Linked DNA regions of Sus scrofa. The main gene of each other region encodes a partner of the protein of the gene in region 3 in a complex. Links are inferred from orthologs where the notes say so. Each region holds a gene or a part of one and is shown on either strand. Other genes may lie near its edges.

What was found.
Region 1: the proteins of RHOA (region 3) and ARHGEF2 are in contact, whole or in part, in a crystal structure (PDB 7G9I), measured with the Homo sapiens proteins. The link is inferred for Sus scrofa from reciprocal best matches to the Homo sapiens genes RHOA and ARHGEF2. Residues at the interface, in NP_001300870.1 of Homo sapiens: Arg5, Lys7, Lys27, Gln29, Val33, Tyr34, Val35, Pro36, Thr37, Val38, Phe39, Glu40, Asn41, Tyr42, Val43, Asp45, Glu54, Trp58, Asp59, Ala61, Gly62, Gln63, Tyr66, Asp67, Arg68, Leu69, Leu72, Ser73, Pro75, Asp76; in NP_001155855.1 of Homo sapiens: Asp215, Ser216, Ser218, Leu219, Asp238, Val239, Glu242, Thr246, His249, Cys342, His345, Ser346, Leu349, Lys353, Lys376, Arg377, Gln381, Glu382, Leu385, Leu386, Thr388, Gln389, Ile391, Thr392, Lys393, Leu396, Leu397, Arg400, Lys423, Leu426.
Region 2: the proteins of RHOA (region 3) and ARHGEF11 are in contact, whole or in part, in a crystal structure (PDB 1XCG), measured with the Homo sapiens proteins. The link is inferred for Sus scrofa from reciprocal best matches to the Homo sapiens genes RHOA and ARHGEF11. Residues at the interface, in NP_001300870.1 of Homo sapiens: Arg5, Thr19, Val33, Tyr34, Pro36, Thr37, Val38, Glu40, Asn41, Val43, Asp45, Glu54, Ala56, Trp58, Asp59, Ala61, Gly62, Gln63, Tyr66, Asp67, Arg68, Leu69, Arg70, Leu72, Ser73, Pro75, Asp76, Pro96, Glu97, Pro101; in NP_055599.1 of Homo sapiens: Asn715, Gln717, His718, Glu737, Val738, Glu741, Thr745, Ser748, Ser837, Lys844, Arg867, Arg868, Leu869, Gln870, Arg872, Asp873, Ile876, Met879, Gln880, Arg881, Thr883, Lys884, Leu887, Leu888, Ser891, Arg914, Leu917, Lys918, Val920, Asn921.
Region 4: the proteins of RHOA (region 3) and PKN1 are in contact, whole or in part, in a crystal structure (PDB 1CXZ), measured with the Homo sapiens proteins. The link is inferred for Sus scrofa from reciprocal best matches to the Homo sapiens genes RHOA and PKN1. Residues at the interface, in NP_001300870.1 of Homo sapiens: Met1, Ala2, Phe25, Ser26, Lys27, Asp28, Gln29, Val43, Asp45, Ile46, Glu47, Gln52, Glu54, Thr163, Lys164, Arg168, Glu169; in NP_002732.3 of Homo sapiens: Glu40, Arg43, Arg44, Ile46, Arg47, Leu50, Lys51, Lys53, Glu54, Glu57, Asn58, Arg60, Arg61, Leu77, Arg78, Ser81, Leu84, Asp85, His88.
Region 5: the proteins of RHOA (region 3) and ANLN are in contact, whole or in part, in a crystal structure (PDB 4XOI), measured with the Homo sapiens proteins. The link is inferred for Sus scrofa from reciprocal best matches to the Homo sapiens genes RHOA and ANLN. Residues at the interface, in NP_001300870.1 of Homo sapiens: Tyr34, Val35, Pro36, Thr37, Val38, Phe39, Glu40, Asn41, Trp58, Asp65, Tyr66, Arg68, Leu69, Pro71, Leu72, Pro75, Asp76; in NP_061155.2 of Homo sapiens: Met729, Thr732, Val733, Tyr735, Gln736, Ala737, Gln739, Ala740, Cys743, Cys744, Glu748, His749, Gly750, Ser753, Glu755, Glu758, Ala759, Leu762.
Region 6: the proteins of RHOA (region 3) and ROCK1 are in contact, whole or in part, in a crystal structure (PDB 1S1C), measured with the Homo sapiens proteins. The link is inferred for Sus scrofa from reciprocal best matches to the Homo sapiens genes RHOA and ROCK1. Residues at the interface, in NP_001300870.1 of Homo sapiens: Val38, Phe39, Asp65, Tyr66, Arg68, Leu69, Leu72, Pro75; in NP_005397.1 of Homo sapiens: Lys999, Val1003, Asn1004, Leu1006, Ala1007, Met1010, Asn1011, Arg1012.
Region 7: the proteins of RHOA (region 3) and TRPV4 are in contact, whole or in part, in a cryo-EM structure (PDB 9IQX), measured with the Homo sapiens proteins. The link is inferred for Sus scrofa from reciprocal best matches to the Homo sapiens genes RHOA and TRPV4. Residues at the interface, in NP_001300870.1 of Homo sapiens: Met1, Ala2, Ala3, Arg5, Tyr34, Pro36, Val38, Phe39, Glu40, Asn41, Tyr42, Val43, Glu54, Trp58, Glu64, Asp65, Arg68, Leu69, Leu72, Pro75, Asp76; in NP_067638.3 of Homo sapiens: Lys177, Arg179, Thr181, Glu183, Glu184, Arg186, Pro188, Arg224, Glu225, Asn228, Ser229, Pro230, Arg232, Arg237, Asp263, His265, Ala266, Gln267, Arg269, Asp313, Arg315, Arg316.

What each region holds. Positions count from the first base shown.
Region 1 is NC_010446.5:94,032,810-94,036,886, forward strand, and holds part of ARHGEF2 (rho guanine nucleotide exchange factor 2), read left to right. Parts: intron 1-1,226; 5' UTR 1,227-1,247; coding exon 1,248-1,522; intron 1,523-2,374; exon of another isoform or gene 2,375-2,505; coding exon of another isoform or gene 2,506-2,511; intron 2,512-3,123; coding exon 3,124-3,241; intron 3,242-4,077. UniProt on the Homo sapiens protein: Activates Rho-GTPases by promoting the exchange of GDP for GTP.
Region 2 is NC_010446.5:93,132,311-93,136,387, reverse strand, and holds part of ARHGEF11 (rho guanine nucleotide exchange factor 11), read right to left. Parts: intron 3,628-4,077; coding exon 3,585-3,627; intron 2,426-3,584; coding exon 2,329-2,425; intron 2,105-2,328; coding exon 1,982-2,104; intron 1-1,981. UniProt on the Homo sapiens protein: May play a role in the regulation of RhoA GTPase by guanine nucleotide-binding alpha-12 (GNA12) and alpha-13 (GNA13). Acts as guanine nucleotide exchange factor (GEF) for RhoA GTPase and may act as GTPase-activating protein (GAP) for GNA12 and GNA13.
Region 3 is NC_010455.5:31,928,592-31,932,668, reverse strand, and holds part of RHOA (transforming protein RhoA), read left to right. Parts: intron 1-574; exon of another isoform or gene 575-590; intron 591-3,166; 5' UTR 3,167-3,168; coding exon 3,169-3,324; intron 3,325-4,077. UniProt on the Homo sapiens protein: Small GTPase which cycles between an active GTP-bound and an inactive GDP-bound state.
Region 4 is NC_010444.4:64,814,401-64,818,477, reverse strand, and holds part of PKN1 (serine/threonine-protein kinase N1), read left to right. Parts: intron 1-215; coding exon 216-367; intron 368-1,565; coding exon 1,566-1,701; intron 1,702-4,077. UniProt on the Homo sapiens protein: PKC-related serine/threonine-protein kinase involved in various processes such as regulation of the intermediate filaments of the actin cytoskeleton, cell migration, tumor cell invasion and transcription regulation.
Region 5 is NC_010460.4:37,672,523-37,676,599, reverse strand, and holds part of ANLN (anillin), read left to right. Parts: intron 1-781; coding exon 782-964; intron 965-2,491; coding exon 2,492-2,618; intron 2,619-3,962; coding exon 3,963-4,011; intron 4,012-4,077. UniProt on the Homo sapiens protein: Required for cytokinesis. Essential for the structural integrity of the cleavage furrow and for completion of cleavage furrow ingression. Plays a role in bleb assembly during metaphase and anaphase of mitosis.
Region 6 is NC_010448.4:106,203,060-106,207,136, reverse strand, and holds part of ROCK1 (rho-associated protein kinase 1), read left to right. Parts: intron 1-477; coding exon 478-584; intron 585-2,018; coding exon 2,019-2,169; intron 2,170-4,077. UniProt on the Homo sapiens protein: Protein kinase which is a key regulator of the actin cytoskeleton and cell polarity.
Region 7 is NC_010456.5:41,156,332-41,160,408, forward strand, and holds part of TRPV4 (transient receptor potential cation channel subfamily V member 4), read left to right. Parts: intron 1-1,107; coding exon 1,108-1,266; intron 1,267-1,492; coding exon 1,493-1,585; intron 1,586-1,714; coding exon 1,715-1,788; intron 1,789-2,495; coding exon 2,496-2,661; intron 2,662-2,879; coding exon 2,880-2,946; intron 2,947-4,077. UniProt on the Homo sapiens protein: Non-selective calcium permeant cation channel involved in osmotic sensitivity and mechanosensitivity. Activation by exposure to hypotonicity within the physiological range exhibits an outward rectification.

The DNA.
Region 1 (4,077 bases), on a different chromosome or scaffold from region 3:
AGACACACTGAGGCAAGCCCTGATGGCAGCCAAGAGTATCGAGCAGTGAGAACCATGCCCACTGGGAGAGAGAGAAGGAATTTCAATGTGGCTGATGTTGGAGGCCTTCTCTTTGCTCCATGGGGAGAGGTCAGAATGACTCTCTGACTTCCCAGATGACCGGAGTCTTAGAAGGAAGAAATCATAATACTTTCTCAGTCAGGCACCTTTTCTTCCTGGTGCTTTATCTGCCTAGACTCCTCCCCTTCCAGCGTGGCCAAGTCCTAACCACTCCACCCTTCCAGGCCCACCTCAAAGGCTATTTACTTCCTCCTGTTTCCTTTTTTTTTGAATTCTCCAACTGGTTATATGCACCATTCTTTTAGGAGCACAAAGCCTTTTTTTTCTTCTTTTTCTTTTTTGGCTGCACTCATGGCATGCAGAAGTTCCCAGTCCAGGGATCGAACCTGCGCCACAGCAGCCACCTGAGCTGCACAACGCTGGATCCTTAACCTGCTGAGCCACAAGACAACTCCTATGAAGGATTTTTTTGAAATCTCTTGTGGCTTTTGGCAAACTCTGACCAGTCGTTTGTGATTTGTGTTTTTATCTATGTGCACACACGCACATGTGCACACACACTCACTTGAATGAATTCCTTGAGCGTAAGAACAATATCAGTTTCTCTTTGCTTGGCTTTTTTTCTGCCATGTAGGTGCCCTTAACTGGAATAATAATGAGTGAATGAGGATGTCATTATGTACTGGAAAGAACACTAGACTGGGAGTCAGAAAACCCAAGTTTTGGGAGCTCTGGTTGTGGCTCAGCAGAAACAAATCCGACTAGTATCCATGAAGATGTGGATTCGATCCCTGGCCTTGCTCAGTGGGTTAAGGATCTGGTGTTGCCATGAGCTGTGGTGTAGGTAGCAGATGTGGCTCAGAACTGGCGTGGCTGTTGCTGTGGTGTAGGCCAGCAGCTACAGCTCGGATTTGGCCCTTAGCCTGGAAACCTCGATATGCCGCAGGTGCGGGCCTGAAAAAAAAAAAAAAAAACTTCTAGACTTGGCTCTGCAGCTGATTCCTGGTGCGATCTTGAGCCAGCCATCCTCCAGTTCTGCGCCTCAGTGACTAGATCTAGGGAGAGGTGACTAGATTATCTCAGCCTGGCTGACTGTGACACTTTTCTGGTTCCAAGTTTCCAGAATTCTAGAACTCTGCTCACCCTTCTCTGTCTTCTTGATTCAGACTGGACTGTGTGTACCTCCCATGAACAGAGACGTCCCAGAAGTGTTCCTCGCAGGTGGAGACCTAGTGCCCCAAGGCCACACTCGCCGTTGCCTGTCTGTGGTAGAGTCCAGAGAGCAGCTGGAGGAAGAGGAAGAGGAAGAGGAGGCAGAGGAGGAAAAAAAGAAGGAGGGAGATGGTTTCCATGACGTACCCCTCCGAAGGTCGGGGGCTTTCCGTGCCCACAGCCACAACTACGACCCCTTCAAAAGACATAGTTGGGGACCAGGCAGGGAGCTCCAGGATTCACTGAGCAGGTAAACCACTGGAGGACCTCCTGTCCCTCCTTCCCTCAAGTCCTTGACCTAGGAGAAAGGGTTGGAAAGCACAATAGGAGTTGAAGTGACTTGGGCCCCTAGTCTCTCCCCTGGAGAATCTGAACCCAGGCCTGTTGTGGGCCTCCCTGGTCCATCCAGGGAGGATGGACCCTGCCTTTCAAAATATGGCCTTCAGACTTCCCATTGTGGTGCAGCAGAAGTGGATCCGACTAGTATCCATGAGGTTGTAGGTTCGATCCCTGGCCTTGCTCAGTGGGTTAAGGATTCGGCGTTGCCGTGAGCTGTGGTGTAAGTCGCAGACATGGCTCGGAGCTGGTGTCTCTGTGGCTGTGGTGTAGGCTGGCAGCTGTAGCTCCGATTGGACCCCTGGCCTGGGAACCTCCATATGCCACAGGTACAGCCCACCCCCCAAAAAATAAGCAAAATGTGGCCCTCCCTAGTGGTCCTAGCTCCTCCTTTCTACCTGGTCTCAAAGGAAGGTGTGTGAAAATGGAGCAGGAGAGGTGTGGCGCCTTTCCACATATAGTAGTGTTAGAGCTGAAAGGGGCTTGGAGATCGTATGGCACAATCTCCTCATTTCACACATGAGGAAACAGCCCCAGCGAACTTTGGGAGGTTTCTTGAAAGAGTTGGAGTGTTGAACCTGGCACTTTCCCAAATTTCTGCCTGCCTGCGGGTCCATGATGTTTGGACATCATAGAATGGCCCTGCAATGGTGGAAGAGCTGCTCTTGTGCAGGGGTTTGCATGTGCTTGGCAGACCAGAAGAGAGGGACCCAGCTCTTCCCCTCTCCTGGAAAATCCCTGGCTGACCACTTCCCCAAAGACAGAGGAAGTCAGAAAGAGAAGGTCCGGGGCTCAGTGTGAAGAGTTCAGTGTGAGTGGTCGCTGAGAGGGCCTGCTAGCCGTGGAAGGGCCCTGTCTCTCTGCTTTGGCAATGGTCCCCTTGGACAAGTTGTCTTAATGCTGGTGAGTAGACCAAGCTTTTCTAGCTCCTGGGCAGGGCTGGCTGGGCTGTGTGATGGGAGAGGATTCTTGTCCCTGAAGTGGCTTAGGTGGGAACCTGGGTGAGAAGCCTTTGTCCGCAGGACTCACCACACCTTCCTAAGAGCAGCTGGTCAAAGGCAGAGATGCCCTGAGTACCCCTTACACAGTGCCGGCTGTATCTCAGCATCTTCCAGGTGTCATCTTTCACTAGAGGCCCTAATTATACCCTTTTAGGTAAAGAAGGAACGGAACCCTGGGGACACTATTTGTCTGAGTAGGGGCCAAGATTGGCATCAGAAACTAGGCAAGGAGTGGGAATCCAGCTTGCCCTTGCCCACCCCACAATGCTGGCTTTCTTCTGACGGCAGTACTATCTTTTGACCAGCAGGGGCCACCCTTGCCTACAGTCAGCATCACAGCTTTGCCAAAGCCCAGTCCCAGAAGGGAGGCCAGTTTGGGTCTAGGCTGTGCCTGAGCCAACAGGAAGGGCTGGGCTGGGGGCAAGCAGCAGGGCTGGGCTGAGGCGGTGTTCCTCCCTGGTGCCCGTCACAGGCCGCTGGATTCAGAGGCCAGTGATGGCAATGTGCGTTTCAGGAACAAACCTCAGGCATCGGGATGCGAAGGCCCCCAGAAGGACCCCTTACAGTGGAGCCAAGAGGAACTGGACCCCTTTTTGGAACTGCAGCACCGAGGAGGCCAACCCTCCTGTGTGGTACGGACAGACAACTCCCCATGGAAGCTACCACCTTCCTCCCCTTCCCCTGATCCTTTGCCTATCCAGCCACCACTCTGTGCCTCTTCTGTTCTCCCAGCTGTTGGGTCTCTCTGTCCCCAGGCATCTCTCTGACTCCATCTGACCAAATCTGGATCTGGTGTCTGTACCCCTCTGTCTGCTTCCCCGGGTCTGTATGCTCTGTCCTCTACTCTTGGTATCCTGCCTCTGTCGTGCTGTGAGACTCTCTGTTCCATCCTTTCTGTGTCTGTGTCTCTGTGTCGATGTGGGTATCTCTGTTCCTCTCTCATTAAAAGGCCCCTGTTCCCCTATTTGTTACAACTGGTTCTTTCAGTGGACCCCCCATTTCTCAGATTTGGAGATGAACTTATTATTCGTAGGATGAAACTGGGCACCTGGTACCCTGAAACGCAATCATCCTCTAACAAGATAATCATAAGATTATCGACTGAGAAAGGATATAAAGATTGCTCAGCCTGAGTTCAGTCAGCCCTCCATGTGCACAGGTTCTGCATCCTCAGATTCAACCAACCAAGGATAGAAAATATTTGGAAAAAAAAAACAACAACAAAAAACAGAAAGTTCCAAAAAGCAAAACTTGAATTTGCCACATGCTGTAAACTATTTACTTTGCATTAACATTGTGTTTACAATTATTTACATGGCATTTACATTGCATAAGTATAATTTTTTTTAATTCTTTTTTTTTTTTTTTTGTCTTTTTAGGGCTGCATCCACAGCATATGGAAGTCCCTGGTCTAGGGGTCAAATTGGAGCTACAGCTGCTGGCCTATACCACAGCCACAGCAACATGG
Region 2 (4,077 bases), on a different chromosome or scaffold from region 3:
GAAAGACGGTGAGACAGCGGAGATAATACCTTGGGACCTGATTCAGGGGAACCTATTTAAAAGAGGTAAGTGGGAACAGCAATTAATATCTGTGTGCTCGCTATGGGCCAAGGGCTATTTACATGTATACTATTTATACCCAAATAATCCATTACATCTCCATTTAATGAAACGGAGGCTGCATTCTTTTAAATACAAGCCATTAGAAGCAGGGTGCCTATGCTGTCAATAACAATCCCATGTAATTCTGTGGTGCCTACAATCTCAGAACAGGCTCTGGCAGCTTTTTTGCTTCCATCCCTGGTGTCATCGGGGTGATCAGCGCCATCTGATCGCTAGGGAAACTAAGGCCCAGAAAGATTCAGGGCTCAGCTGAAGGTTGGAGGGTTGTTTTCAAAGACGAAATATGTCCTCTCCGTGGGACCTCTCATCAAATGCCAGATTCCTATTGGCAGCTGCCTACTCGGTTCTCCACTTTGATGTCTAAAAGAGATCTGAGATTTTGACACGTCTGAAACCGAGGCCCTGATTTTCTACCACAGGATCGCTTCTCACACAGCTGTACCTAACTCAACGGATGGCAGCTTCGTCCTTTTAGTCATTTAGGTAAAAAACGTGGAGTTTTTTTCCTTTTCCTTGGTTTTTCTTTCTCTCACATCCTATACATCAATTGTTAGGAAATCCTCCCGTTGGCCCTCCTGTCAAAACATACCTGGAACTCCTTTCACAGCCCCAGGGGCAATGCTCCCATGCCAGCCCTACCGGGGGACTTCCTGTAACTGACCTCCCTGCCTGGAACCCTCCTTTGCTCTCCCACCACTCTCAAGTTGCTCCCGGCTCCAACGGTTCCTCATTCACTGGGAGGAAAGAAACTTACAACTGTCCACAGCTTCTGGGAGGCCGCCTCTCCTGTCGCCCCTCTGACTTCTGCACTCAAACATGTCAAGCATGTCGCTCCTCTGCCCTGGCTGTTCCCTCTGCCTGGGATGCTCTTCCTCCAAGATGTTTCCGAGGATGCCCATGCCCCCTTTCCGAGGATGCCCATGCCCCCTACATGTAAACGTCTGGATGAGGCGCTATTTGAAGGTGCAATCCCCTGGCTCAGATGCTCCTGGGCCCCCTTGGCCTGCTCTGTTCCCTGATCCCCAACCCTCATTTTCTAATGTACTCTGCAATTTACCTGCATAATACACACTGCTTTTTCTTCCCACAATAGCACAAGCTCCACAAACATTGTTTCTCTACTAATGCATCCCAGGAGCCTAGAACAGTGCTTAGCACCATCGGAGACTCCATAAAAACTTGCTGGCTTGAAGTATCAGCATTAGTAGAGGCTACAGAGATTGTCTAGCCCAAGATCTGTCATTTTATAGATGAGACCGAGGGGGATGCAATGGCTTGATCAAGGTTACACAATTACTGAGTGGAGAAGCAGTACTGGGGTGAAAATCTACCTCTAAGCCTGGAAGTGTCCCCACAAAGTCAACCCAGGCACCTGAAACACTTTAGAAAATAGGGCTGGAAAGAGGCATTCACAGCAGCTGTGCCAGGAGTTCCTTCGTAAGTTTAGTTTGGTTAGTCTTCCGATATGATTAGTTAAAAACGGTCTGATTCCTGTAAGCCAGTTCTGCCTGCCTCCTGAAGGAACTTTACCCCCTGGAGAATCACTGCATGGCTCTTGTACTCAGTGTCAGATGCGATCTTAGCGGCAGGAAGGGGCCAGAAAGCTCACTGCGATGCTGAGGCCCGAGGTTTGTTATAACCACCAAACTGCCCTCAGAAGCTCCAGGCTCCACAATTCCCTTGAAACTCCCACAGACCCGGCCTGAGAAATGGAGCAGGAGGGCAGGATTCTCCCCAGCTTTCGGGGGAAGAAGGATCAGGCAAGAAGTGGCAGAGGGGGAGGGACTAGGAAATAGACCCACAAACTGTGTCAAACTGTTGGGCATGTTCAGGGGTGGGAGTGGAACCGGAGACTCACAAAATGTCTCCTAGGGCAGCCAGCTGCTTCTCCGCCACCTGGCGCTCGCGGAGAGGGTCCCCATCCAGGTCCAGCAGGTCGTTTTCACCATACAGGCTGCCCAGCCCCAGCGTGCGCTTTGTTCTGAGCCAGAGAGCGAAAGAAACAAACGTATACCAACGTCTGACAGAGAGGTGCACAGACACACACACCATACACACACACCAACACACACACCACACACAAACACACACACACACACACACACACACACACACACACACACACACACACGAGACACATACCCCGCAGGTCAAGAACAAGGGTGAGGAGGCAGAGGGGAGAGCGGGGCGGGGGGCACCGGGCACCTGTAGTCCTGGATCTGCTCCTGGATGTCGGGCATGGCGGCCTCCTGAGCCTCGCAGAGAACAGCGCGCACATCCTCGCCGCTCCGCAGGCGCAGGTCTGTGGTGGGAGCCCAGACAGGAAGGGGAGGGATGTCGGGAGAAGGAGGTCACATCTGCTGAGCATCTCAAAGCCTCTTAGCTGCCTGTGGCACCGGGGGCAGAGGCTGGCTTTCTGCCCTCCTGTCAGCCAAGGGAAGTGGAGGCCTGGACCTACCAGGTCATTCCTGAATTCAGGACTGGAATTCTGACATCCAAGTCCCAAGGCAAGGACAAAATCGTTTCCGGGATGTTCCACACTCCATTGAGTGGAGAACTATTAAATCCCCTCTCTGCCTGTGTCCAGACACTGCCCTCTGACATTAAATGCACACCTCTGCAAGGCTCATCCTCATTCCACCGCCCCAGGGTCAGCTCACAAGGCTGCAAAAGGCAAGCACTGCACAGGAAACCCAACTTCCCACCAGAAACTGGAAGGTGTCTCTCCTGTCCTTGCACCTGGCTTCACTCAGCTGAGGCTACGTCTCCGGGAGTGGCTGGCCACCCTCTGCTCTGCTTTGGAGCAAGTTCTCTTTACCCTCTGTCTGTGCCCATTAGCTTTCCTATCATCCAGGCCTTTAAAGGACCTCTTTTTGAAGGCAGCTTTGAACCAAGACCCTCTAGAAAGCTCCTGTGATTAGCCTCTCAGGTTGGCACCCTTCCTTGGCTCTTCCACTCATGATTTGACAACGAGAAGGGAACAGAGCAATCACCTAGCTCACTGGCTCCCCACCCAGCACAGGTTTAGGAACACACACCACCAAAAACACAAGAGCAGAAACACTCCAGAGAGTCTGACTCTGCGGGTGGGGTGGGGTGGGGGAGGCCCTGGTTTTGGTAATTCTAAGACAGAAGCCCCCAAGGGATCCTGATGATGACCAGGCTTAGGAATCCAATTTCCTCTTTGTACAGATGACCCAACCCAGGCCCACAGAGGTCAGGTGCAAGGTTGGCAGAAGTGACCCTGGTCTCCTGACCAACTCGTGCCCTGCCGTGACAGGCTTGATCAGGCAGAGTAGCTCCCAGTGGTTGTGCTTGTCCATGAGCTACTTTGAGGAGCTCTGGAGGAAAGGTCCCCATATCCCCTATTAGAGAACAGCTGCCCAAGGTAGAGACTATGTCCCTTCCATCCCTGAAGCCACCTCTGAAGAAGAGACTAGATGACCAAGGAGCCAACTTACCAATCTCAGCCTGTAACATCTCCGGGACCTTCACTCTCAGAGGCTGAAAAACAGAAGAGGGGGCAGAGTGGTGAGGTCCACACACCCCAGGGCATGGTGGGAATCGTGCGGGGGCAAGGAGGGCTCTGGGCACTACCTCTCCTCCCCCTTTCCCTACACGACCCCACCTCCGCTCACCCATCTCCACTGAACTCTAGCTAGGGATTCTGAGAACTGGCATCGGAGGCTACGAGGCAAGCTGGGACTGTATATTCTGAGGGTGGTACCTGCAGTTTTCCTGCTCTTATTTCAAGGATCTCAGGCTGTACTGAATGGAAAGGTTCCAAAAAGTGGAGGGGGGGACAATTTAGCAGCAGGGGAGGAGTCTTACGAGGTGAGTCGATGGGCTCCCCTTCTCCTTCACCCCCCAGGGAACACGGGCCTTCTGCTACTGCATCTTCCAGTGAGTGCGCACGGCCTGGCTTTGGCTTTACGAGAACCTGACAGCTGGATC
Region 3 (4,077 bases):
GCTCCAGCTGTAGGTGCAGTTTGACCCCTAGCCTGGGAAATCCCATATGCTGTGGGTGCGGCCCTAAAAAGCAAAAAAAAAAAAAAAAAAAAAAAAAAAAAAAAAATTTGTGAAGTCCAGTTTCTTTTTTCTTTGATTCATGGTGATGGATCTCTTTGTGGATATACTATTTACATTATATTGTGATTAAATGTTTTATTCACAATAGCTAAAAGGTAAAAGCAATCCAAGTATCTCTCAGATGAATGAATGAATCAGATGGTGGTATATACATGCAATGAAATATTATTGTCTTAAAAAGAAAGGAAATTGACACATGCTAAGTGAAGAAACCTCAAAGACACTATGCTGAGTGAAACATTAAAACAGTTAATTTTACTCTGGGTTTTGTTTTGTTTTTTTAATTTTGTCTTTTTGTCTTTTCTACAGCCGTACCCTGGGCATGTGGAGGTTCCTAGGCTAGGGGTCCAGTCACAGCTGCATCCACTGGCCTATGCCACAGCTGTGGCAACTCGGGATCCAAGCCACGTTTGTGACCTACACCACAGCTCATGGCAACACTGGATCCTTAACCTACTGAGTGAGGCCAGGTATTGAACCCGCAACCTCATGTTTCCTAGTCAGATTCGTTAACCACTGAGCCACGACAAGAACTCCTACTGTTTTTTTAAATTTAAGAACATTCAGCAGTTTTAGCTCCTATGTTTGGGAGTGTAGTCCATCTTGAGCTAGTTTTCATCTGATGTGAGCTCTAATTTCCTTTCTTTGCATGTATCTATTCAGTTGTCAGTTGTCTGAGCACCATTTGTTAAAAACGCTGTTTCTTCCTCCATTGAATTGTCTTGGCATCCTTGTTGAAAATCACTTGACCCTGAATGCAAGGGCTTATTTCTAAACTCTTCAGTTCTACTCAATTGATCTGTGTGTTTTGTTTGTTTGTCTTTTCTAGGGCCGCACCCGCGGCATATGGAAGTTCCCAGGCTAGGGGTCTAATCTAGCGGGATCCAAGCTGCGTCTCTGACGGCAACGCCGGATCCTTAACCCACTGAGCAAGACCAGGGATTGAACTGAAATCTTCATGGTTCCTAGTTGGGCTCATTAACCACTGCTCCACGATGGGAACTCCAATCTATGTGTTTTTTGTTTCGTTTTGTTTTGGGGGAGAGTGTCTCTTTAGGGCCACACTGCAGCATATGGAAATTCTCAGGTTAGAGATCAAAGCAGAGCTACAGCTGCCGGCCTATGCCACAGCCATAGAAATGCAGGATTCGAGCCACATCTGCAACCTGCACAGCAACTCATGGCAACACAGGATCCTAACCCACTAAGCAAGGCCAGGGATTGAACCTGCATGCTCATGGATACTAGTTGGGTTCATTTCCTCTGCGCCACAGCGGCAGCTCATATCTTTTTTTTTATTATTATTATTATTAAAATATAGTTGATTTACAGTGTTGTGCCAGTTTCTGCTGTATATCTGTCTGTCTTTACAACAGTGCAACACTTTCTTGATTACTGTAGCTTTAGAGTAAGTTCTAAGATCAGGAATTGTGAGTCCTGCAACTTTGCTCTTATTCAAGATGGTTTTGGCCATTCTGAGTCCATTGAATTTCCATTCTCTCTTTTTTTTTTTTTTTTTTTTTTTTGGCTGTTCCCCCAGCATGCAGAAGTTCCTGGACCAGGAATCGAACCCAAACCACAGCAGTGACAATGCCATATCCTTAACCTGCTAAGCCACCAGGGAACTCCCTCCATGCATATTTTCTGATCACTTGTCAGTGTCTGCAAAGAAGCTAGCTGGGATTTTGATAGTGATTGTGTTAAATCTGTAGATTAATTTGTAGGATATTCCCATTTAACAGTATTTAAGTTTTCAGAGTATGTTTTGTACTTCTTGTGCTTAGTTTATTCTTATTTTATTCTTTTTGATGTTATTGTAAATAAAATCTTAATTTCATTCTCAATTTGTTCATTGCTAGGGTATAGAAATACAATTGATTTGTTTTGTTTTGTTTTGTTTTTTTAGAGCTGCATTAGTGGCATATGGAGGTTCCCAATCAGAGCTGTAGCCACCGGCCTATACCAGTGCCACAGCAGCGTGGGATCCTAGCCATCTCTGCAAACTGCATCACAGCTCAGGGCAATGCTGGATCCTTAACCCACTGAACAAGGCTAGGGATCAAACCCGCATCCTCCTGGATACTAGTCGGGTTCGTTAACTGCTGAGCCACAATAGGAACTCCGCTTTTTGTGTGATGACTTTGTATCCTGCAACCTTGCTGAATTTATTAGTTCCGATAGTTTTTTAGTGGATCCTTTAGGATTTCCCATGTATAATATCATGTCACCTGCAAATTAAGATAATTTTACTTCTTCTTTTCTGATCTGAATGTCTTTTATTTCATTTTCTTGCCTAATTGCCAGAACTTTTAATATTATGTTGGATGGAAGTGTCAAGAGTGGACATTCTTGGAGTTCCCGTCATGGCTCATTGGTTAACAATCCAACAAGGAACCATGAGGTTGCAGGTTCAGTCCCTGGCCTTGCTCGGTGGGTTAAGGATCTGGCGTTGCTGTGGGCTGTGGTGTAAGTCCCAGGCGTGGTTTGGCTCCTGCGTTGCTGTGGCTCTGGCTGGCGCCTACAGCTCCGATTTGACCCCTAGCCTGGAACCTCCATATGCCATGGGTACAGCCTTAGAAAAGGCAAGAAAAAAAAAGAGTGGACATTCTTGTCTTGTTCCTCATCTTGCAGGACAATTTTTAGTCTTTTCACCATTAAGTATAATGTTAGTTATAGGTTTTTGATATGACTTACTGGTCCTAAGTGGAAAGGTATACTGGTGTTTTATTTTCTTTTTTTTCCCCCCTTTTTCGGCCACCCCGTGTCATATGGAGTTCTCAGGCAATCCAAGCTGGAGTTGGAGTCTACGCCACAGCTGTGGCAACACCATGTCCTTAACCCGTTGCACCAGGCTGGGAATCAAACCTGAGCCCATGAGCAGTAGAGACACTGTCAATCCCATTGAGCCACAGCAGGAACTCCAGCATTTTGTATTTTGATGTGTTAATAAAGGCTTGTGCCACATGGCCAGAAAAGTATTTGTCATGGCCTGAGACTATTATGGCTTCTTGTGCATTCTAGACAACACTTTGATTTTATGTTTCAGCAATGGCTGCCATCAGGAAGAAACTGGTGATTGTTGGTGATGGAGCCTGTGGCAAGACTTGTTTGCTCATTGTCTTTAGCAAGGACCAATTCCCGGAGGTATATGTACCTACCGTGTTTGAAAACTATGTTGCAGATATCGAGGTGGATGGAAAGCAGGTGAGTATACTTTGCATAACAATTGGTACTGTTTTGCATGTTAGGCTATTCATACAGCCTGTAGAGAATTAGGCCTCTTGGGGGGGGGGGCAAGTTGATCCACTTTTAATAATGGAGTCAGAAGAAAAATCTGGTTTTTCCCCCCAAATCCCACTCCCCCCCCCAATTATTTGGGTTAACACATTTCAGAATTTTAAGTAAACAGTTGTTGCAGCTGGGTGAAGGTAGCCCTGTGTCCATCCACCAGGAAGCGCTGTCATTATCTGCACTGCCATCCAGCTCTCAAGGGGGCTATCAGACTCCAGCAGCCTGGGTCTGCTCTGTAACTATTTCAGAGCTCCAATTTGCTCCAGGCGGGTCAAGAGCTCCCCTCTCTAGTGCATACTTACTGGATCAGTGCATGCATCCACCTATACACGCTTTACCAATAAAGACCCAAGGTACTGTTCTGGCTCCCTTGAGCTGTTGGAGATGATCTTGAATCTCGTTGGTGTCACTGGTAGCTGTGATATCGACAAATTCCAGAAGCCCTTCTTTGAAGGGCAATTGGCTGAGGAGCTCCTGGGTCTTTCTGCAGAAGGGACAGGTGGGCTTGATGAGAACTACCGCCATATTCATATGTATTTCACATTGGGAAGCCTTAGAATATGTGTTCTTTCCAGCCTTATTCATATTTGAAATTTAGTGTATTGCCAAATGGATAATACTAAAATGAACATCCTTGTATGGATGGACTTTTTTCCCCCATCATAG
Region 4 (4,077 bases), on a different chromosome or scaffold from region 3:
ACTCATGCACCCCTGGACACTTGCCCATGCTCATTCATGCTGGTCCTATCCCAGCGCTGAGAGGGTTTCCTGTGACCGATGGTGTGGTTGGGTCCCCTGGCCCCCAGTTCTTTCTCCTCCCGGCCCTCCCGGGTGGGTTCTCTCAGCTGGGGCAAAGCTTCCTGGGCAGATGGAGGTGAGGGCCATGGTGACTCTGTCCCACCCACCCCCTCCAGATGCCCCCCAGTCCCCCGGTGCAGGTGGCCCAACCTGCTCAGCCACCAACCTGAGCCTCGTGGCTGGCTTGGAGAAGCAGCTGGCCATCGAGCTGAAGGTGAAGCAGGGGGCGGAAAACATGATCCAGACGTACAGCAACGGCAGCACCAAGGTGGGGGCAGCACGAGTGAACACACCCCTGTGTGCACATACGCCTGGAGCACATCACACAGTGAGGGGGTTTGGGGGGGTACCTACATGTCCCCCATGGGAGGTTTGGGCCCTCTGGGTTGGGAACAGAGGGACTGATGAATGACTGAGTGGCAGAACTGGGGTGCAGGCAGCTCATGGTGGTATGTGGGAAACAGAGTGACTGGGTGATGTCAGACAGACACACAGCAGTTAGCCCTGGAGACCCAGCAGCCTCTGTGGACAGGGCAACATGCAGCCTCTCACTGCTACTGGCATCTCTCTGACATGTGCACGTGCAGGTCAACACCTGGAGTCACACACACCATTATAACATCTAGAGACACAGCAGTAACAACACTTGGACACATGGAGGATGACTACCACAGGGCTCTCTGGACACGTAGAGACATACCATCATAATAACCCCAGGACACACAGTACAGGCCAACAGACGTCTAGACACACAGACACGCACACCATTAAATTCACACCCAGAGAGCAGAGTTGTCACACAGTCATTCCCCCCAGCTATACCAACACCAAGAACACAGTCACAGGTCTGCACCCACACCCAGAGATACACCCACAAGCACAGCCAGACCTATAGCTAGAGACCCGGGAGAGCACCCATACCTGTGTGCACACACAAAGGTGAATATTACGTGGGAGGGCACAGACCATGCCAGATTTTTTTTTTTTTAAACCTTTTATTGAGGTGTAACAAAGGGATGTGTAGTATATTTTTTTTCTTTTTTGGCCACCCCAAGGCATATGGAGTTCCCTGGTCAGGGAACTTGGACCCACCTACGTGACTCCTGTCAGGGCTACACCCACCACGGGGAACACTGAGCCACACGTATGCCTTTCTGACAGCTGACACAAATACAGTGCCTGCTGGTGCCAGGCACAGCACTGAGCCCTACATACAGATTAGCTCCTTTAATCCTCAGCCGAGTGGTGGTTGCAATCCAATTAGCAATCCCAGTCCTGTAGATGACGAAACAGGCCCAGAGAGGTTGAGTGGCTTGCCCAAAGTCACACAGATAGCAGTCTTAGGTAGCAGAGCCAGGATTCAAATGCCATGGGTTACTCAGGGCCTGCACTGGTGTGGACAGAAGAGCTGCTGGTCAGTCTCCCATCTGGCCAGCCTTCCTCTCACGGCCCATCTCTGCCTCTAGGACCGGAAGCTGCTGCTGACGGCCCAACAGATGCTGCAGGACAGTAAGACCAAGATTGACATCATCCGCATGCAGCTCCGCCGGGCACTGCAGGCCTGCCAGCTGGAGAGCCAGGCGGCCCCGGATGAGGCCCAAGGTGAGTCCGTTGCCCTGATACAGCTTAGCCTGCATCCTATCTTGTAGAGTTCTGCTCCCAGTCACATAGGGGGTTCCTTTCTGGGGCAGGGAGGTGAGTGCTCTGACTCATCATGTGACTGGAACCCATTCTTGACCCTCTCTGGGCCTCAGTTTCTCATTTTGTCCCACTCAAAGTTTCCACTTGATCAAGTGTTAGCAAACCAAAGCTCTTGGGCCAGATCTGCTACTGCCTTTTTGTAAATAAAGTTTTATTGGCACCCAGCCACACCCATTCATTTACTGTCACCTAAGGCTGCTTTGGCATTGACAGCAGAGCCAAGTAGTGGCAACAAAGACTATGTGGTCTGCAAAGCCAAAAATATTTACCCTGTGACTCTTACGGAAAAGATGGGCAGACCGCTGGACTAGGTGGTTGCCTTGTCATGTTGGCCCCTGTGGTGTCCTCAGTGTGTGTGTTTCTGTGAGTGTTTCAGTGTATGAATCTCTCGGGGTGGGAGGGGTCTCAACCTGATTGTCAGCCTGAATTTGTGACGGAGTCTTGATGTATGCATGGGCTACTGATGTGTGTCAGTATTAATGTGATATTAGCCATGGGGACCAGGGGTTGTATGGATGCTCTGTAACTATGATAATTTGCCTGTCACCATGAGAAATAGAGAAGTGTCAACTGTTGGTGAGTGATAGTGCATTTGGGCTGCTATAATATACCACAGTACCACAGATAGGGGAGGGGGCTTTTAAACAACAGACATTTATTTCTCACAGTTCTGAGGGCTGGGAAGTCCAAGATCAAGGCGCTGGCAGATCCAGTGTCTGGTGAGAGCCCTCTCCCACATTCACAGACAGATGCCTTCTTACTGTGTCTTCACTTTGGAAAGGGCCGGGGAGCTCTCTGGGGCCCTTTTTATAAGGACACTGATCCCATTTATGCAGGCAAAGTCCCCATGACCTAGTCATCTCCCAAGGGCACCAAGGTCACCACCTCCAAAGACATCACACTGGAGGTTGGGTTTCAACATATGAAGTTTGCAGGGAAACATGCAGTCCATAGCAGTTGGACCTGTAACACGGATGACAATGTATGTGTCTTTGTAGTGCGGAGGTGTGTGTGGTTGTTTGTATGAACTCTGAATGCCTACGTGAATTTCTCAGTGTCAGTGTGCGATGGTATGATCATGTCCCTGTGCCTCTGGGTGACACTGTAACCTTTGGTGGCAGCTTGCTTTTGTCCCTGCAAGTATAAAAGTCTTGGTAACTGGGCACATGTGACAGCAGTCCTGGTGAGTGCCACACACCTGTGGGTGACTGTGACTCTCTGAGTGCCAGAGTCTGAGTCTGGGTCATTATGCAGGACAATGAGACTGTCCTTGGAATCTACAGCCGTGGATAAGGGTGACTTTGACCTCATGTCCCTAGGTGACAGGTTTCCCATACCTGTGTGACAGTGTCTATCCCTGTGCCATTGGATAACTGTGGCTGTGTCCCCAGGACTTTGCCCTGAATATGGTAGCCAGCCTGTTTCCCTGTGACTGGGTCTCTGTTTCTATGAGTATTGCTGATGCTACCTTGCCTGTGTGACAATGTGGCAGCATTTCTTTACCTGTCCCTATGCCTGATCCACATGGCAGTGTGGTTGTGTTCCTGTGATTCTCCTTGGGTTGAAATTAGAACCCTGGGAGTTTTGCCACCATGTGACTGTGTCCTATGAGGGTGTTTATGTTTTGTGACTGTTTTTCTCTGCCCTTGTGACCGTGTCCCTTTGCTTGAGGTTGACAAGGCACATATCTATGTAATATCAGCCTCAATCCTGTGACAGTGTCCCTGTGTAGCAGCGTGATAGCATCTTTGTGAGAGTGTGTGTTCATCTGCCTGTGGGTATGTGTAACAGTGCCTACACTGGTGAGAAAGTGATAATGCCAGTGTCACCCTGTGAGTGACAGCATAACAATGTCTGTGTGATGTTGTCCCTGTTCCCCTAATTGCATTATATTTCATGATGTGGGTAGTTACCATTCACTTATCCAGACCCCTACTGGAGGAAATGGGGTTGTTTCTAGTCTTTTGGTCTTGAAGGCTTTGAATAACCATGAACATATGTCAAGTGCAGAGGTGTTTCTATGGGATACAATCCCTGAACTGGGATTGCTGAATCAAGGGGTAAGTACATTAGTGTTTCTGATAGAAATGGCCAAACTGCCGCCATCAGAAAGCAACTTGTATTCCCATCAGCAATGAATAAAAGTTACTTTTTTTTTTCTTACATGTCCCTGTATCTGTGTCATTATATCCTTGTGGCTATCCAGTTGCTGTGGTGTCCCTGTGATAATCCATGGGGATAAAGAGGACCTGAAAATGTATGTGTCCCTAAGTCAAT
Region 5 (4,077 bases), on a different chromosome or scaffold from region 3:
GATAATGTTTCAGCTGACCTATTTTTTGTTTGTAATAAAGTTTGTGAAAATACCGCATGTAAAATAACATATAGTTTGTATGAAAGGGGGAAAGAACCTGGAATGCATTTTTTAAGAAATGTAGTTGCAGGAGTTCCCGTCGTAGCTCAGTGGTTAATGAATCCGACTAGGAACCATGAGGTTGCGGGTTCGATCAGTGGGTTAAGGGCCCGGCGTTGCCGTGAGCTGTGGTGTAGGTCGCAGACTGGGCTCGGATCCTGCGTTGCTGTGGCTCTGGCGTAGGCCGGTGGCTACAGCTCTGATTAGACCCCTAGCCTGGGAACCTCCATATGCCACAGGTGCAGCCCTAGAAAAGACCAAAAAAAAAAAAAAAAAAGTAGTTGCAAAGAGTATGTTAAGAGTGAATATACGAATATATTTATACATCTCCCCCACTCTATCCCTGTACCTATATATATATGTATAGCTAAAAAAAGTTAGGTGAATTTTCTTGTATACATATGTGTGTGGTGATGAAAGACAGGGTATGTTAGGATGGAGAGATTAACACCTCAACTTTTGGTCAGTTTTCCTGTGTAGTTAAATTTTAAGGATTTGGTGAACAGATAAGCAATGAGGATTTTTCCTAACTACCTACCACCTGTTTGTCTGAAGGAAGTTACTGATTTCCTCTTTGGTCTTAGATACAATTGCCATATCAGTGCATTGCCTTGAATTGGCTTCATTTAGAAACAATTGCAGTTTTAATATTTGAAATGTTAACTTGCATATTTCTTCATAGCTGAGAAGAGAACACTTTTGATTGATGAGTTGAATAAATTGAAGAATGAAGGGCCTCAGAGGAAGAATAAGGCTAGTCCCACATCCCAAAGTGAATTTGTCCCTTCTAAAGGATCAATTACTTTGTCAGAAATCCGCTTGCCTCTAAAAGCAGATTTTGTCTGCAGTACAATTCAGAAACCAGGTATGGTGATTTTTATTTATTCACTTCTAGATCATATGTCGGATTACAAATCTCATCTAGATTAGAATTGTATAAATGGGAACAAGTAGAGCATAAAGATACAAGGTTTGTATCTTGGGCCTTTAGTTCCTTTTATGAAGATATGTGTATAGGGAGTTCCCATCGTGGCTCAGCGGAAACAAACCTGACTAGCATCCATGAGGACACAGGTTCGATCCCTGACCTGGCTCAATGGGTTACGAATCCGGCATTGCCATGAGCTGTGGTGTAGGTCGCAGATGTGGCTCAGATCCTGTGTTGCTGTGGCTGTGATGTATGCCGGCAGCCGCAGCTCTAATTTGACCCCTAGCCTGCCTGGGAACTTCCATATGTTGCAGGTTTGGCCCTAAAAAGACAAAAAAAAAAAAAAAAAAGTATAAAAATAACCAAGGAAGAATTTCATATATCGCCTTACTGATCCCTCAGCAACAGACATGGCTCTAATTGAAAGTAAGCCTAAGTTAAATATAATATTGCATAATTAAATTATGAACATATTATAAATTAATTATATGAACATAAGATAAATTACTAAGATGAGTTATTCTGACACAGCAGACCATTTGACTGCATTAATTTTATAGTGGAAAGTATTGGGCATCTAAAACTTGTTTTATTTACTCTATTTAATTTAAAATTCACTTCATTAAAGAAATTTGTTCTGTGAATCCCGAATTACTGTTTGTGGGAGTGAAGAGCAACATAATGTAGATAATTTTCTATTGAAATTTTATTCCCTTTGTCGCTCTAGATTGAAAAAGCAAACTTTTCTAAACTGTGTACTCTTCTTAAAATCACATTTAAGCATTTAAAGTGAGTTAAGGAAGTTATGGCACCAGGATCTGAAAACAGGGCAGGATAATTATAGCAGGCTTAATAAAATTAAATCTTGGATAATTTTTTTAAAGATGGCTTCACATTTTTGCCTGGAACATTCTCTCTGAGGGAGTAGAGGGCTAGATGAGAATCTGAGGTACAGGGAAAGTAAAGACTGGAGATCTTTAATGTTTGAACATTTGTTGCAGAAATGAGGTAATTTAAATTCTAATTCTAGCTGTTGTCTGATTTTGGTGGGGTATAGGGAGAAATCTATTGGTAATTTCATGTATACCTTGAGATACGTGGCTATTTAATAACAGATAGTGAAGAAATAATTTATTTTAATCTCAGTTTGGAAATAGCAAGTCATAATTTACCCTTTTGAGATATATACTATTAGCTAAAGAATTGGGGTCAATAGGTAAAAGTAGAAGTCAGCAGAAACTGAGGGATGCAGAGTAATTTCATTTCACATAATAGGAAGGGACCTTGGATGATGCTATTCCAGGAATATGACTTTCTGTTTTTATGTCTTATCTTTTTGTGTCCATTAAGATGGCTTTAAAAATTTTTATGTGGTGTTAATTTATTCATTTGGTCTTCCAGAATGCTGATTATCTCAACCTGATTTTGCTTATGCTTATTATGTAATGTGATTATTTCTTGCAGATGCTGCAAATTATTATTTCTTAATTATACTAAAAGCAGGAGCTGAAAACATGGTAGCCACACCATTAGCAAGTACTTCAAATTCTCTTAATGGGGATGCTCTAACATTCAGTACTACATTTACTCTGTAAGTAACTTAGGCTTTTGATGGTTCAAACACATTTTTTTTTTTTTTTTTTTTTTTTTTTTTGTCTTTTTAGGGCCACACTTATGGCATATGAAGGTTCCCAGGCTAGGAGTCCAATCGGAGCTGCCTACACCACAGCCCGTGGCAACGCCTGATCCTTAACCCACTGAGTGAGGTCAGGGATCAAACCCGAGTCCTCATGGATGCTAGTCGGGTTCATTAACCACTGAGCCACAACAGGAACTCCGGTTCAAACATATTTTTCTTTGAATAGAATTACTATAGCATACAGATAGCATTTTTAATATCTTTGACATGTAGTATGTTTTATATGGACAAATAACTCATTTTTCAATTTGTTAGTTTAACTCTTTTTACGTTTCCAGTCTTCCATTGAGTAGCATGTTTCTTCCATGTGACTGTAGGTATTTGATGTTTTAAGTGTTTTAACATATGTATTTACTATACACACAGAAAAAATCTGGACCAGTTTTTAATACATGCTTTAAATCTCAACGTATTTAATACTCAGTCTCAGTGAAAAATTTATATTTAGTGTCATAGATAAAATAAATCTGAAAATAAATCCAGTATGAAAAAAAATTACTTTTCTTACTGATGATCTTGATTTGTAAGGTACTGAAGAAAATATTTGACATGGGAGTTCCAGTCGTGGCTCAGTGGTTAACGAATCTGACTAGGAATGATGAGGATGTGGGTTCAATCTCTGGCCTCCCTCAGTGGGTTAAGGATCCGGCATTGCTGTGAGCTGTGATGTAGTTCACAGACGCGGCTCGGATCCTGCATTGCTGTGGCTGTGGCGTAGGCTGGTGGCTACAGCTCCGATTAGACCCCTAGCCTGGGAACCTCCATATGCTGCGAGTGTGGCTCTAGAAAAGAACAGCAACAACAAAAATTTGACATGTATTACAGGGAAACAGACTGTTCTTACCAGTTTTTATTTTCATTCATTAACTATTGTCAGAGTTCCTGTTGTAGCTCAGTGGAAACGAACCCAACTGGGATCCATGGGGAATCAGGTTCAATCCCTGGTCCCATTCAGTGGGTTAAGGATCTGTGTTGTGAACTGTGGTGGAGGTTGCAGACGCAGCTCAGATCTGGTGTTGCTGTGGCTGTGGCGTAGGCCGGCAGCTGCAGTTCTCATTCGACCCCTAGCCTGGGAACTTCCATAAGCCACACCTGTGGCCCTAAAAAAAAAAAAATTAAAAAAAAATTAACTATTGTCCTTAGTATCAAAACACAGTAAATTCCTTTACTCTCAGTCTTATAACAGTATTTGTGGCATCATTTTTATTGGCATAATTTGATATTTTCATTTTCCAGACAAGATGTGTCCAATGACTTTGAAATAAATATTGAAGTTTATAGCCTGGTAAGCAGTTACATCTTTCTAAAATAACTAATAGTGTATTTTTCTCAAATATATCAGATTTTAAGT
Region 6 (4,077 bases), on a different chromosome or scaffold from region 3:
AACGGGTTCAATCCCTGGCCTCACTCAGTGGGTTAAGGAACAGGGACAGTTGTGGTGTAGGTCACAGACACAGCTCTGATCCCATGTTGCTATGGCATAGGCAGGAAGCTGCAGCTTCAATTCGACCCCTGTAGCCTGAGAACTTCCGTATGCCACAGGTGCAGCCCTAAAAAGACAAAGAAACAACAACAACAAAAAAACCACAGCACTTAAATACTGGCCTTAATTAACATGGCAGAAAAGAGCACTCGGATATGATTTCTGGACCATTTGTAAAGTGAAGAATATGTACTAGATGGTCTCCAGCTAATTAATATCTTTATCACTGTATATTGTAATTATTGTTTATACTACCAAGAAAATACCTAATAAATTTCTATCAGGAGATTTAAAACTTTTTTATCTTAATTATCATGTTGGAAAAATAAAGATTTCCTTTAATGATTGTATGACTTGAACTTTCTTCTCACTTGGTAGCTCGAATTACATCTTTACAAGAGGAGGTGAAGCATCTCAAACATAATCTTGAAAGAGTGGAAGGAGAAAGAAAAGATGCTCAAGACATGCTTAATCATTCAGAAAAGGTAAATGATTTAACATACCAACTATGAGATCACATTTACTGGTCATCATATATTATAAGGTGGTTTTATGAAGAGCATTCACTCTTAATCTTTATATATTTGCATTTCTAAAAGTTTTTATGATTGGCTGGTATTTGGAGATCTACGTGAGTCTTATTTTGGTCTTTTTATTCTGTTATTTGTTTTTTCCCTTGAGGGGTATTAGATATCTGATACTATCTGATCATCACAGTTTGCTTTGGTTTGGAGGTGCCTCTTCATATAGAATTTTTTCCCCATATTTTTGTACATGGATAAGATGAAGATCCTGAACCTTGCTGGTTAGGAAGAAGGAAAATAAAAGATCGGTGTATAGTAGACCATGTGTACTTTTTCCATTTTGTTGTTAAGAGTTAGCAAAATAGGAGTTCCTGTTGTGGCGCAGTGGTTAATGAATCCAACTAGGAACCATGAGGTTGCGGGTTCGATCCCTGGCCTTGCTCAGTGGGTTAAGGACCCAGTGTTGCCATGAGCTGTGGTGTAGGTTGCAGACGCAGCTCAGATCCTGCATTGCTGTGGCTCTGGCATAGGCCGGTGGCTATGGCTCCAATTAGACCCCTAGCCTGGGAACCTCCATATGCTGCAGGAGTGGCCCTAGAAAAGGAAAAAAAAAAAAAAAAAGTTAGCAAAATAGTAGAGCATAAAGTAGTTGTCCTTTACGTTTAGAATTTTCTTAATTACAAATCCTTTGTTCCTTCCTTGCTAAGACAATGATTAAATAGATAACATGCAGATTTAGTATACCTCCCTGAAATGTTGTAGGTTTTGTAGATCCTCAGGTAAATGATCAAAAATCCCACCATTTAACTTATCCTTTGGACATGTTTTATGACATTCAGATTAGCTTTTTGATGTCTAAGTCTGGTATAAATATGGAAATGGGATGAAAAATGAGGAGTAGAAGCACCCAAACAGGAATGGAATATATTTTGACTTATTCTTTTATCGGAGCAAGGTAAATTTAAATATAGATGCAAATATAAATAGAGGTGATTTAATTTTTTTAAGGTAACAAAATGTTTAAATGAACTGAAGAAATGTCCTGTTCATTTCTGATCCTCGCAATAAAACCTCCTCAGCAAAACCCTGTCCTACCATGAGCCATGGCTAGTGATTCAGATGGAAAGAAGTGGAGGGGTAAAGAAAAGTGACATTTTGCTTTTAATTATATATGCTTATTGTGACTTTTAAAGTAAGACAGTATAAATAGCGTGAAATACACAAGAAAGAATAATGTAAAATTATGTGCTGAATAAAAATATTTAAGTAAATATGGTATCACATTTCAGGCCAATGTGATTTATATGTTATCTCTTATGAGATATTAATGAATGTAAGGTTTAATGATGTGCCTTTTGTACAGCATATCACATGACTCTCCTTCTCATTTTACAGGAAAAGAATAATTTAGAAATAGATTTAAACTATAAGCTTAAATCATTACAGCAACGGTTAGAACAAGAGGTAAATGAACATAAAGTAACCAAAGCTCGTTTAACTGACAAACATCAATCTATTGAAGAAGCAAAGTCTGTTGCAATGTGTGGTAAGTGTCAGTTTTAATATTTTCTACATGATTGGTTTTTAAATAATGCCAACCAAAAATTTATTCTGTTTAAAATTTCATTTTTATAGCAGTTCAAACTCTTAGAAATTGTAAACGTGGATCTGGGAAAAGGGTGCTTTCCTTTTATTCTTTTTTGAGATCTTTCATTTTTAAAAATCATAGTTTCCCTTACTCTACTAGTTCCCTTACTCTACTACTCTCTACTTCCTATAAAAGTCAGTGGATTCTCTTTTCTCATAGTTTTTCAGCCTGTTCCTTTATTTTCTTCAAGATCTAGTCTGGAATTCATTGTCTGTTAATTCACCTGTTTTCTTGCTTTGTACCCTCAACTCCCTCATTCCTTTGTATTTCTGCTGTATTATGCCTCTGAATACAACCCTAGATCAGACTAGCCAGCCACTTGCATCACTTCAAATAGTTCTTCAGATGGATGTTAGCCTAGTGTATTGTCTCCAGCCTCAGCTGAGCTGTCTTTTTTAATGTAAATCACTCATCATTTTCTTCTTCCAAACTTCTCTTTCTCTCCTTGCTTCCTATGGCATTTATCATTCGCTTTTAGGTGAACATTCTCCTGTTTTAAAAAATTGCGAAAGCAAAGATGTGAACTTCTCAGAAGCTAATTCTCTAACTTAGCCTGTCCTACCACATTGCCCATCTTCATTATCTTCCCTCTCATCTTAGAGGAGGGTGATTCTCTTCCTGTCCTCACTAAGAGGTTCTAGCTGTACTCGGATCCAGTCTCTTATCTGAACTTATTATTTCTTTTTCTTTTCTTACTTCTCAACCTTTTTTTCTCCTCTACTGAATCTTTAGTTGTTGTAAACATGCACAAGTGTCTCCCATCTTAAAAACAAAATAAGGCAAGCCTTATAGCAACCTGTGATCCTTACTGATTGCCACTCTTTTATTCCATCCTTTTATAACCAAATTCCTAAAAAGATGTCTTCCTTTCCTTCACTTCTACTCAATTTTTAACCTACTGTAACTTGGAAGTATCATCTGGCACCTTAAATTCAGTTTATTTAAAGGAAAACTTGTGATCTTATGTGTCTTATCTGTTCTTACCCCTGCTCTTACTGTCTTGGTTAATGGCTATTTAGGTTTCTGAGCTCAGGTTTGTAATCCAACAAATATGCTTTGCCTCTTAGCCACCCTATGACTATTTAAAAAAAAAACTAGATTGGAAAATGCATTTAAAATGCCTCTACATGGAAAGCTCAGTAAATGGAGATACTATCATGGTTATGGATAATGGTGGTGTTCAATATCCAGGAGCCCAAGCCAGAAATCTGGGAATTATTCAAGAAACTCCATTCTGATGGTTTCTATTTTGTCACCTAGAGGACAGTCTGAAAGTGAGGAAGCAGATTTATTAAGTTTGAATCCTGATGATGCAACTTAGGAGTTGCAAGATCCTAGAAAATTAACCTCCAGGGATTTCCCTTCGTTGCTCAGTGGAAACGACCGACTAGCATCCATGAGGCAGGTTGGATCCCTGGCCTGCCTCAGTGGGTTAAGAATCCAGCATTGGCTGTGACTGCGGTGTAGGCCGGTGGTTACAGCTCCGATTGGACCCCTAGCCTGGGAACCTCCATATGCCTCGGGTGTGGCCCTTAAAAAAAAAAAAGAGAGAGAGAGAGAGAGAGAAAGAAAAGAAAATTAACCTCTAGAACCTTAGTTAACATATGTCAAAAAAAGGAACCTTACGGGAGTTCCTGCTGTGATACAGTTGGCTAAGGATCCAGCTTTGTTTCTGTGACAGTGCAGATTCGATACCCAGCCCGGCACAGAAGATTAAGGATCAGCATAGCTTCAGCTGTGGTGTAGGATGCCACTATGGCTAGGATTCCGTCCCTGGCCCAAGAACTTCCATATGCCACAGGTGCT
Region 7 (4,077 bases), on a different chromosome or scaffold from region 3:
TTCCTATCAACCATTCCTCTATTCTTGGTCATTTGGGTTTGTTTCCGCATCTAACTATCAGGAATAACACTGCACTGGCAACTTTGTGGCTATGTAATTGCACAAATCCTTGATGATAAAGAAAATCAAGTTGTTAAAGGGACAGGACACTGTACAAATGGAGCAGAAAGTGCTGGGGCCTGGGTGCAAAAGGTTTCACTTCCAGCCCCGGCTCTGTGAGGGTGGACAGATGCCTTCCCTTGCTGGATCTTACTTCCTTCATCTTTGAAATTAGTGACCAACTTGATTTACCTTAGAGATGATGGGAGGTTTGGCATCTCTGCTGCAAACTCTGATTGATTGGTAGTGTCTGCCCAGGGAGCTATCCAGAGGATTATTGTGCAGGACTCAATTACTGATGTCTGCCCTGGGTTCAGAATTGAAAAATTGTAGTGGGTCACATATTTATCATCTTTAGGCTAAATGTCCCAACCCCACTTCCTGAATTATAATTTCTTTTTATTTTTTATTAATGATTTTTATTTTTTCCATTTTAGTTGGTTTACAGTGTTCTGTCAATTCTTACTGTACAGCAAAGTGACACACACACACATATATACATTCTTTTTCTCACATTATCCTCCATCATGTTCCATCACAAGTGACTAGATATAGTTCCCCATGCTGTAAAGCAGGATTTCATGGCTTATCCACTCCAAATTCAGTAGTTTGCATCTATTAACCCCAGACTCCCAGTCCATCCCTCTCCCTCCCCTGAATCAGAATTTCTGAGGTCAGAGCCCAGGGACTTATATTTTTAACAAGCTGCATAGCTGATTTTGCTGCCAGCAGCTCAGCTCCGTCCACAGATTGGAGTTTGGGGAAACCACAAGAAGAGATTTCTTTTAGGCGCTTTCGAGCCCTGAGTCCTATGACTCTAGAAGAGTCTGGAAAGGCAAGTTGGGGCGGAATTGGGCAGAGCCTCAAAGGCCCAGAAGTTTGAGTATCACTGAAGAATGGTTAGGAGGAAGAATGCTCTCAGAGCAGACGGTGGGGAAGGCATGCTGGACTCAGACTGTTTGGCCCCGAACCAGCCTGACTGGCCCCCGACCACCCCGCCTCCCACAGAACCGCCACGAGATGCTGGCCGTGGAACCCATCAATGAACTGCTGCGGGACAAGTGGCGCAAGTTCGGGGCAGTTTCCTTCTACATCAATGTGGTCTCCTATCTGTGTGCCATGGTCATCTTTACCCTCACCGCTTACTACCAGCCTCTGGAGGGCACGGTGAGTGACCATGCACCAGGCAGGAGCTGGGGTGTAGCTGGGTCCCCTGTGGGAGGGACTGGAGAGGGCTTAGGAACAGGATGGTGGGTGCTCTGTACATCCAGGGGAAGAGAATGAGGGAAGAGGTGCCATAGGACCCAGATGGTTGGGGTCTTGGGGAACATCTGGACCTGGGGCCAGGTGTTAGAAGGGCTGGGTGAGGACTCGCACGCCCCCTGTCCCCCAGCCACCATACCCTTACCACACCACGGTGGACTACCTGAGGCTGGCCGGTGAGATCATCACACTCTTCACTGGGGTCCTGTTCTTTTTCACCAACGTGAGTGCTTGGCCCCCCACCCTACACACCTGCCCGCCCCCCTCCTTCTCTTCCTCCACCTCTTTTAGCTCCTCTCTCCTCCCCTTGGCACTCCTGCTGGCTCCATCTCTCTCATGCCCCCGCCTCCAGATCAAAGACTTGTTCATGAAGAAATGCCCTGGAGTGAATTCTCTCTTCATTGATGGCTCCTTCCAGTTACTCTAGTGAGTAGAGGTCCCCAGACTGGTGGCTTCTGGGTGAGGAAGGTGGGCTTGGGCAGGGACACTGCTCAGGTTTGGTGGTGGTGGGAGTGGCTCTGCTGGAGTGAATTCACCCAGCCTGAACATCTGCAGCCCAAAGTCAAGACAAGGTCACTATCAAGCAAAAGGATCTACTGGGTAAAGCAAGATTCTGGTTGCTAGAGAGTTATCACCATGCACACCACAGATAAAAATAATCTAACCTCCTTTGCTTGTGATTCATTGCTAATGTCTGCCAGGAGTGCCCATGTTAAGAATCTTGAGGCTGTGTCTGTGTTTAATGGGAGCGAGTGCTGGGATTGATTAATGATGTCTGCCTAGGGCACAGGATGAGTTGCTGCATGTGTGTTATATCTTTTCCCGTATCCTTAGAGAACAATGAAATTCCCTTAGCCACAAAATCTCCACTGAATCCCACTGAATCTTTCTCTAGCAATTCTGAATCACATCACTTTGGGATCTGGGAGGGCCTCAGGGCCATTACACACACATCAGCTGCCAATTAATTGGGTGTTCTGGTTAACAGAATGCTGGAGAACCCGGTGAATCCATGTGGTTTCTCTGCTGCGGGTCATCGGGATGTCCTGGTACCTAGAGGGCTCAAGGGCATGCCTCCCCCTCCAGGACCTCATTGTCCCCTTTCCCCTCTGGCGGTCTCCACTGCCCTGTAGCTTCATCTACTCTGTGCTGGTGATTGTCTCCGCGGGCCTCTACCTGGCGGGGATTGAGGCCTACCTGGCCGTCATGGTCTTTGCCTTGGTCCTGGGCTGGATGAATGCCCTGTACTTCACCCGTGGGCTGAAGCTGACAGGGACCTATAGCATCATGATCCAGAAGGTAAGGAGCAGGGCACCCACTGGACACACATATGCAGACAGTGCCAGGGCCCTGAGGACATGGGGGCACCGTGGTGGCCGCAGGCAGGGCCTGGACATCGGCGGGGTGTGGGTAGGGGGAACAAAGTGGATCTGGAGGGAAGACTTGAGATGAGGAGTGGGGCAAGTGAGAAACCACATGTCTCATCTTTGCCTCCGTATCCCCGCCGGGGCCTTTAGATCCTCTTCAAAGATCTTTTCCGTTTCCTGCTGGTCTACTTGCTCTTCATGATCGGCTACGCTTCAGGTGAGCTCTGGGTGCCTGGGTGAGCCTGGCAGGGGCGGTACCAGGGCTGGATCAGCCACCATAAAGCGTGTGTTTGTAGACTCCTCACTGGGTGCCCGTCCCTGCTTCATTCAATTCCCCCAGTAAGTCTGTAAGGTAAGTGTCTTTATTACCACCTTTTACAGATAAGGAAACTGAGCTTTAGGAAGGTTAAATGTGAATTCCTGCTGTGGTGCAACAGGACTGGTGTTGCCAGGTTGCAGGTTTGATCCCCTGCATGGCACAGAGGGTTAAAGGATCTGGCATTGCTGCAGCTGCAGTGTAGGTTGCAATGGCGGCTTAGATCTGACCGCTGGTTCAGGAACTCCATAGGCCACAGGGCAGCCAAAAATGAAAAGAAAAAGAAAGGTTAAATAACTTGTCCAAATGCAAAAGCATGGATGTGATAAAACTGGCATATTAGCTATGGTTGCAAAAGGAGCACCCAAAACTTAGTGGCTTAAAACAACCATTTATCATTACTCTCAAAGCTGTGGGTCAGCTGGGTGCTTGTGGTCACCCGGGCCAGATTTGGCTAATCTTTTTTTGGAGGGGCTGTTCCTGCAGCATGCAGAAGTTCCCAGGCCAGGGATCAAACTGAGCCACAGCAATGGCAATGCTAGATCCTTAACCATTAGCCTACCAGGGAACTCCATATTTGGCTAATCCTGATGGGCTCCCGTGTCTGTGCTCCGCTGGCAGGTTGGCTACCAGCTGACTAGTGTAGCTAGGGTGGCCTCTGTTGGGTTGACTTTACTATCTTCCCCAGGGTCACTCATTTCCAGCCAGCTAGCTGGAACTTGGTCAGTGGTGGTCTGAGGTTCCCAGAATGTGAGCAGAAGTGTTCAAGGTCTCTGCCTGGCCCGGCATCGCTTCTGGCTCACCCTCTTGGCCAAAGCAAGTTTCAAGGCCCGCCTTGATTCAAAGCATGGGGAAATAGACTCTATCCTCTTGGTGGAAGGAGCTACAAAGCCACATTGAAGGGGTGTGGATATGAGGGAGGGCACATTTTAATCATTAATCGAGCAGCCTGGGCTGCTCAGCACTGGCTCCTTCCTTGATGTCACGATGCCTTGGGACCTTAGTGACACAGGTCATTGGGGAAAGATTAGG